2 linked regions of the Oryzias latipes genome follow. The protein of the gene in region 1 interacts with the protein of each later gene in a pairwise test. Links are inferred from orthologs where the notes say so. Each region holds a gene or a part of one and is shown in the gene's direction. Other genes may lie near its edges.

Evidence for each region.
Region 2: the proteins of slc23a1 (region 1) and S-adenosylhomocysteine hydrolase-like protein 1 interact in binary tests that used the Homo sapiens proteins (3 or more experiments, as listed by UniProt). The two-hybrid records come from large-scale screens. The link is inferred for Oryzias latipes from reciprocal best matches to the Homo sapiens genes SLC23A1 and AHCYL1.

Annotation. Positions count from the first base shown.
Region 1 is NC_019872.2:23,035,492-23,039,314, reverse strand, and holds part of slc23a1 (solute carrier family 23 member 1), read left to right. Parts: intron 1-1,128; coding exon 1,129-1,286; intron 1,287-1,377; coding exon 1,378-1,466; intron 1,467-1,544; coding exon 1,545-1,612; intron 1,613-2,527; coding exon 2,528-2,709; intron 2,710-3,823.
Region 2 is NC_019863.2:2,340,466-2,344,288, forward strand, and holds part of S-adenosylhomocysteine hydrolase-like protein 1, read left to right. Parts: coding exon 1-82; intron 83-237; coding exon 238-308; intron 309-451; coding exon 452-546; intron 547-634; coding exon 635-733; intron 734-2,338; coding exon 2,339-2,407; intron 2,408-2,590; coding exon 2,591-2,669; intron 2,670-3,823. UniProt on the Homo sapiens protein: Multifaceted cellular regulator which coordinates several essential cellular functions including regulation of epithelial HCO3(-) and fluid secretion, mRNA processing and DNA replication.

The DNA of each region.
Region 1 (3,823 bases):
TACATCTTTTTCCACTTTTACTGCCAAAAAGGGAATTTCAGACCCTTAAACGAGTTAAAGTTGCTCTGTGACTAGATCCCACCCCTCCTCCTCTGACAGTTTTTCTGGGATTGTTCCGTTTGAAAAACGGCAAGGAGATGCTTCATTCATTCTAACACCATCTTCCTGCTGCAGTCAGGTTTCTGTGAGACAGAATAGATCAACACGATCATCAGTTATCAAACCATTCAGTAGCAGACACTTTGAGGACAGACGTCTGATCTTCAATTGGTCACCTTTATTTGTTTTGTCATCGTCATCATTTCTTAATAAAACAACTTAAAATGGTATTTCAATCATTTAAAAAGTTGACTGATCATTTTAAGTGTGAGTTGAGGGAGGAAAGTCTGGGCATATTTGCTGTCCCGTGGCATGGATGGATGGATGGATGAATGACTGGATGGATGGATGGATGGATGGATGGATGGATGGATGACTGGATGGATGGATGGATGGATGAATGACTGAATAGATGGACGGACGGACGGACGGATGGATGGATGGGTGGGTGGGTGGGTGGATGGATGGATGGATGGATGGATGGATTTTTAAAACTGCAACATATTTATATACTTTGTTCCTTTTCTCTTTATTGTTATGTGTGTCATTATAATAAACTGTCCACACTTCCTGTTTCTGGTTCAACAATACTATGCCACAGTGGCAAATGCATTATACAACTTGAATCATTACGAAAAACCAACAAGTCAATGTTAAGAACCAAATGATAGCAACTGTGTAATGGAAAAAAACTCAAACATAACAGGGGTGGGATTATGTGAATTTGCTTCTTCCCACTCCCTTTAAAGCTAGTAATCAAACTCTTTAGATTCAGTGTAGTTGATTTTATTGATTGATTACATGAATTTAAAATAATTGAACACTTCATTACAAAAATTACAAAACACAGATGCAGCAAACCCAGTTAAGATATCAAGTAATTAATTGTTGTGATAAAAGACAAAGATGTTAGAAGAGGTAGAGTAGATGCAAATGTGATTTTCCCATTTTTATGTAAAGACAGTGGTTTTTAGACAGTAGAGCTGGAATGTAGGTTACAATTCTGCGCCTTACTCCTTTTTTTCACAGCATTACCTGACATGTTTTAGTGGGACTGTTGCTGTGCCGTTTCTACTTGCTGAAGCCATGTGTGTGGGTCAAGACCAAAACACTGTGAGTCAGCTGATTGGAACCATTTTTACCACTGTTGGCATCACTACTCTGATCCAGACAACTGTGGGAGTCAGGTGAGTCTGAGCAGGTACACATGGGCCAGGTAAAGATCTTCTCTCTTAGTGTGGTGAGAGTAGGAGATAACAAGTGTGTTCTTGTGGTTAGACTTCCTCTGTTCCAGGCCAGTGCGTTTGCTTTCCTGATCCCTGCCCAGGCAATACTTGGCCTTGACCGTTGGAAGTGTCCCAGCGAAGGTCAGAGTCTGTCTGTTTCAAACCCTGTTCTTCATGAACTCACTGCCTCAAGGTTCTAAAGTTTGATTTTATCCACAGAGGAGATTTACGGAAATTGGAGTGTTCCCCTCAACACCTCACACATCTGGCAGCCTCGCATGAGAGAGGTATGAGGGCATCTTTGGCATTTATACTGTGGTCAGAGGTAGATGAAGCATAAAGATCAACCATAACATTCATCATTTTACTTCAAAGAAAATTTTGGTGTTGCTGTTTCTGCTCCTGGACTTCTGTATTTTCAAGCTCACTTAAACTGATAAAGGTTGGTGTTGCTAAAACTAAAAAAATAAAAAATTGCTCTGTGCGCATCATCGCTAGTGACAGACGATACCAATGAAAGGAAAGGTATACAAAACTGTGGTGAGCCCAGCCATGTTCAGAGTGGCACAGAGGAAAAGATAGGAAGCAGGAGGGAGCAGAGATGGAGATGCTGAAGTTCTCTTTGGGAGTGACCAGGGTGGATAGGATCTGGAATAAGGACATCAGAGGGACAGCAAATGTTAGAGGTTTTGGAGGGGAGTCATACACTGAGAAGGTTCAGACATGTCCAGAGGAGAGACAATGAACCTATTGTAGAAGGATCCTGAGTCTAGAGCTGCCAGGCAAGAGATCTAGAGGAAGACCAAAGAGGAGGTTTATGGATGCAGTGAAGGAAGACCTGAAGGTAGCTGGTGTTAGAGTAGAGGATGCAGAAGACAGGGTTAGATGGAGGAAGCGATTCACTGTGGCGACCCCTGAAAGGAAAAGAAAAAGGAAAAGTTTGACTCAACATAAAATGTGAATCCACAATTTCCTATTCTATCATTCAGGCTAACCAACTTCTTTCTTTATTCATCACGTTGGTGTAAGGGGGCACTGGAGCTGCAAAGTCTCTGGGCTGGATCTTTGTTCTTAAACTTTTTGTTCTGCCTAAGAAGGCTACAGACTTTGACCTGGAATTAAGTCATACGCCCAGTCCAAGTCTGCTGGGTTCTGATCCAGTTCACATGAACCAATGAATCGTTGTTTGATGTTTCCTGCAGATTCAAGGTGCCATCATCATGTCCAGTCTGGTAGAGGTTATCATAGGTCTGTGCGGGTTACCCGGTCTGCTGCTGAAGTACATTGGTCCACTCACCATCACGCCCACAGTTTCCCTCATTGGCCTGTCTGTCTTTACCACGGCGGGGGACCGTGCAGGATCCCACTGGGGCCTCTCAGCTCTGTGAGTCACCTGAACAAAAGTGTCACTTGTGTGTTTCTGTGTGTGTGTGTTTTTCTGTCAGTGTGGAAGGTAATGTCCTCCCAGAATATCTGAGGATTTCATTGGAACAGCTAGTCAGTTTAGTGAAATGTTCCATAGACTGGATCAGGGCAGGAGGTCTTGTTCTAATACCTGTAGATTTTATCTAGAAGTTAAAAGGATGCTGCAGATTACCACCTAACTGATCTTCAGATATTTAAGGTTTTTGGTTTAACTCTATCTGAACTTCCTGCAGTTATGCAGTTAAGTCTTCTCTGTTGACACTTAAATTGGTTTCTGCGTATAGGTTAGAGTTGACAGGTGCTATGTTGTCCTGTACCCCTCTCCAAGTCCTTGAGAATGGCTACAGATTCAAGCCATGAGTTTAGGGAGGTGGGTGCCATGGGAGTTATGACTTTGGGTCTGTCTGTGGAGTGGATGGAGCCCTCCTGGACAGATGCTTTAGAGCACAGCACATACTTTGGGCATTGAGATACTTGGCTTTGGCACTTTCCCCTGGTGTTGTGGCATGAATCTCCACCCCGCCTCTGTTTTTAATTGCACATTTGACATGCAGGAAAAGTTGGACACCCCTGCTTACAAACAACAGGTGTCATTAAAAACTGCAACTTGCCAAAAAATCCTGTAGCACAGTACAAGGAGGTCAGTCACCTATGATCTTTTGCCTGCCCACATCCCTTGTTTGAGGGCCCCAGCAGCTGATGTGGGGATGGGGGTTAAGCCCTCTGTGAGTTGGATCCTTGGGTCGAGCGACACCCTGTCCACATGCTGTGGGTAATCTCTACAATCAATGAATTTGGAATTGCAATAGATTTGAGCTGGGGGAGATATTTTTGTCCCTGGGAGGATGGTTTTAAGTCCCTATCCGTCACAAGAACAGGAAGATGGCTGGTTCCAACTGCAGCAGGTTTATTAGCTCAGCTAAAAGTTCATAAATCTAAATCAGGGTCGGGCACGTAGGGGTCAATAACAGGCATGAAATTATAGGAGGAGAGACGAGTAGTCAGGATCCAGGCGAGAGTCGGGGCAGGCGGCAAACAAACAGTCATATACAGGGTCAGGAAACAGAAGATGA
Region 2 (3,823 bases), on another chromosome or scaffold:
AAGGCTGCTGTGCTGCTCTGAAAGCTTTGGGAGCCATAGTCTACGTGACAGAAATCGATCCCATCTGCGCCCTGCAGGCTTGGTAGGAGAAAGAACCACTTCTGCCAGCGTGGCGTGAGCAGACAGAATATCTAACAGTCTGCTGGATTACTGATGCCAAAACCTTTAGCTGAATCCATTTTCATGTCAGACAGGCCTGACTGTTGGCTGACCTCTGCCTTGTTTTGTGTTCCACAGCATGGATGGATTCAGGGTGGTCAAACTGAACGAGGTCATTCGGCAGGTCGACATCATCATAACGTGCACTGGTATTGGAACTTCACTGAAATCGACATGAGTGATGGATTACACTGACATGGAATTAGTGTAGTGAACCCATTAATCTGTCGTGGGTCTCTGTCTGCTCTCCGGTGGCGATTAGCATGACTGACGTGATGGCGTGTTTCTGCAGGGAACAAAAACGTGGTAACCAGGGATCAGCTGGACCGCATGAAGAACGGGTCTATCGTCTGCAACATGGGACACTCCAACACGGAGATCGACGTGGTAAACCAGCACGCCTAGATTTGAGATTGTCATGGCCAAAGTCACTGTCTGTGGTTTAGTGAGTGACAGCCGTCCTGGACTCTTTCAGGCAAGTCTTCGGACACCCGAGCTGACCTGGGAGAGAGTCCGCTCCCAGGTGGATCATGTCATCTGGCCTGACGGCAAAAGAGTGATTCTCCTGGCCGAGGTGAGGGGCTTCTGGTGTATTATTCTACAGAGACACAAAAAAAAAGAAAACATTTTGAAACATTTCCTCTATAAAAAGGTAGATCTAGCGAGTGAACAGAAGTACTATTCTCAAACACGCCAACAGTTCCTGAAGCATGTTTAAATAAAGCCTTCGTCACGGAGGCTGCGGGTTTTTGGGTTGTTCGGGGCGTAGAGAGGAGCGGCCGCATCTTAAGGGGAGTTTAGGCGTTTCTTGCAGTTCCCTTGAGGCTTGAACGGCCACCTCAAGGAATGTCATGAAGATGGAGCGTACCATTGTCAGACGTGTGGTAAGTGTGTTGTGAAGTATTTGTAAGGATAATTTAGGTGAAACGTACTTAGGATGTAGAGGCGATGCTGTCGTACGGTGACCTTACGCCACACCTTGTAAGGTGCGCATACCGGCCCCTTATTGGCAAATGCTGCTCTCACGTCTCAAACTACACTCTGATGGTCTAATTCCCTCATTTCTAACAGTCAGGCTGCACGCCAAGGCGGGCACTTGAAAAGCGCTAATGGCCTCCCTGCGCAGTCCGCCAGATTTTAGCGGGTTTAAAAAATGAAAAAAACACGCCTGTCTCACCTACTTCATCCATACTTACCCTTAATTATTATTATTATTTAATGTTTTTTACTCATTTTGTAAAGTGTCTGTGTGCTATTTAAAGCGATATACAAATAACATTTATTATTATTATTAGGTGACGTTTAGGAAAAGATAAGTTCCTTAAGATAAGGTTCCTGAATGGCTAAAACCAAAGTTTGTGCCCCTGCATGGAGAAATGGCATCAGCTGACTCAGAAACAGACGGAAAAAAAACATCCTGAAACGCTGAGGAAGATAATCGTGGAGAATAATTATCATCCGGAGAAGGTTTTTAATATGAATGAAGGGAGCACCTTCTAAACAAAGGAGGAAGCACGATCTCCTGGTTTTTAGGCACAGAGAGACACTCCTATTGTGTGTTAAAGAGTACACTACAGTACAGTCTATTGGTCTGACTTAAAAAATAAAACTCTTCATGTTGAGCAATATTCCAATGTTCTTTAATAGATCTTTTACAAAGCATCACAAATTTTTCTAAAGGGTTTTAGATCAGTAAGAATTGGTAAAGGACATTCGTCCGTCGCAGAGTTGGGGGGTGGTTCTGGAATTCAGGGGTGTCTCTGGTCCCTCACCCAGCGAACATGGGGGTTAATACTGTATCACATATTTCCACAATCTGACAGAGATAACAGGTGCAGATAGCACGACGGGTGCTTGGCTACCATCCTCCTTTCTCTCACCTCCTGCACTGTTGTGATGTGTTAAAGTTTTCACTATGACTTCACAGCATCTCCGTAGACTAAATAAAAAAACATTTTCACTCTACGAGTTCACTGAGCGCTCTATGACCTTGAGATTTTATGAAGGTCGTCTGCATGTCTTGTCCAGGTTTGTCTATTTTCCACCCGGGGCTGTTGTGACTGAAGCTCGACAGCCTCATGGTGTCTCTGATGATGTTCCTATTGGGTCTCCATTCAAAATGAAGAGTCAGAGCATCCCATAATGACTAAACATCATCATGTCCTTCTTGCTTTCATAGGGCCGCCTCCTGAACCTCAGCTGCTCCACTGTTCCTACTTTTGTTTTGTCCATTACAGCCACCACTCAGGTAAAATAAAAACTGTATTTATTCCCCTTCCCTACACAAGATGAAGGAATACGATGTTATTTTACATTTTTTTTATTTGCTGCAGTCATGTAGTGATCAGAGCAGATTAGCTCCTTTCCAAAAGTCTGGATGTTGTGGATTCCCACGACTGAATTCATCTTTTATCACGTGCTCTGTTCACAGGCTCTGGCTCTGATAGAGCTGTACAACGCTCCCGAGGGACGATACAAACAGGATGTTTACTTGCTTCCCAAGAAGATGGGTGAGGATATAAATACTGCAGTACTTATATGTGCAAAGGTTAGAATAAACAGCCATTTATTTACACTCAGGGCATTTGCGTTCCCACTGTTCAAAAGTTCTCTTTATGACAGAGTGTCAACAAATTAAAGTCAAAAGTCAAATCTACTGTAACACGCTCTATTTGTCTTTAAATGACAGTTGTTTACCGTAATCTGTTACACAGTGGTGTCAATGAAAAACAGCTCACTAGTAAACAAACCAGATGGGTCGTCTTTACAGCTGGTATCATTCATCAGGAGCTCGTTTTGTGATAGAAACCCGAGTTCATCTGCTCGTATTGATTTATTACTCTGCTGTCTCTCAGAACTCTGCTTTGAAACTCAAGAAGTTTGAGTTTGCTCACAAATATACATTCACAAGTGGCATTTTTCACTCACAAACACTCCTGTTCATGCTAATGACCAGTCTGTAGTTTGAATCATTTTAGTGTTGAGGCTTCTTCATCACTTAAACTTGTGAATTTTTGCTTAAAAGAAGATGATAAGGTTTCCTTTTAGAGCAGATCCTCACGCAGGAAAAAACCCTAACACCATGGTTAAAATGTTTGAAAAGTTGGTATTTAAGAACTTTTACCCTTTTTTCAAGAGGAATTATGCAAGGATCTTTGGGTAATTGGATAACAAGAATAGAGACAATCTTTGATGTCTACAATTTCACACAATCTTCTAAAAACAGGTTAGTCTGACTTGTGCAGATGATGAAAACTTTCTTATCCTCCTGAGGACCAGCACATTAATCGATGTCCTTTTTAGTGCAATTTTATGCTGAATTTTCTTTATATATAATAATTATGGATAAGATTTATCTGCACTTTTCCAGACGCTCAAAGCGTTTCCAATGTGTCCATTATTCATTCATACTTGGTGATGGTAGCTACTGATGCAGTAGCAGTCTGCCCCAGGGCAGCTGTGGCTACATCAGTAGCTACCATCACCATACCATCACTGACAGAGGTGTGGCTGCCAGTTCGCTCTGACCATCACCTGGACACTCATATACATGGGTGAGGGTGAAGGGTCTTGCCCAAGGACACAACGACAGTTGGCTGGGAGGATTGGGGATCGAACCGCCAACCCTTTGATCATTGTACGACCTGCTCAACCGCCTGAGCCA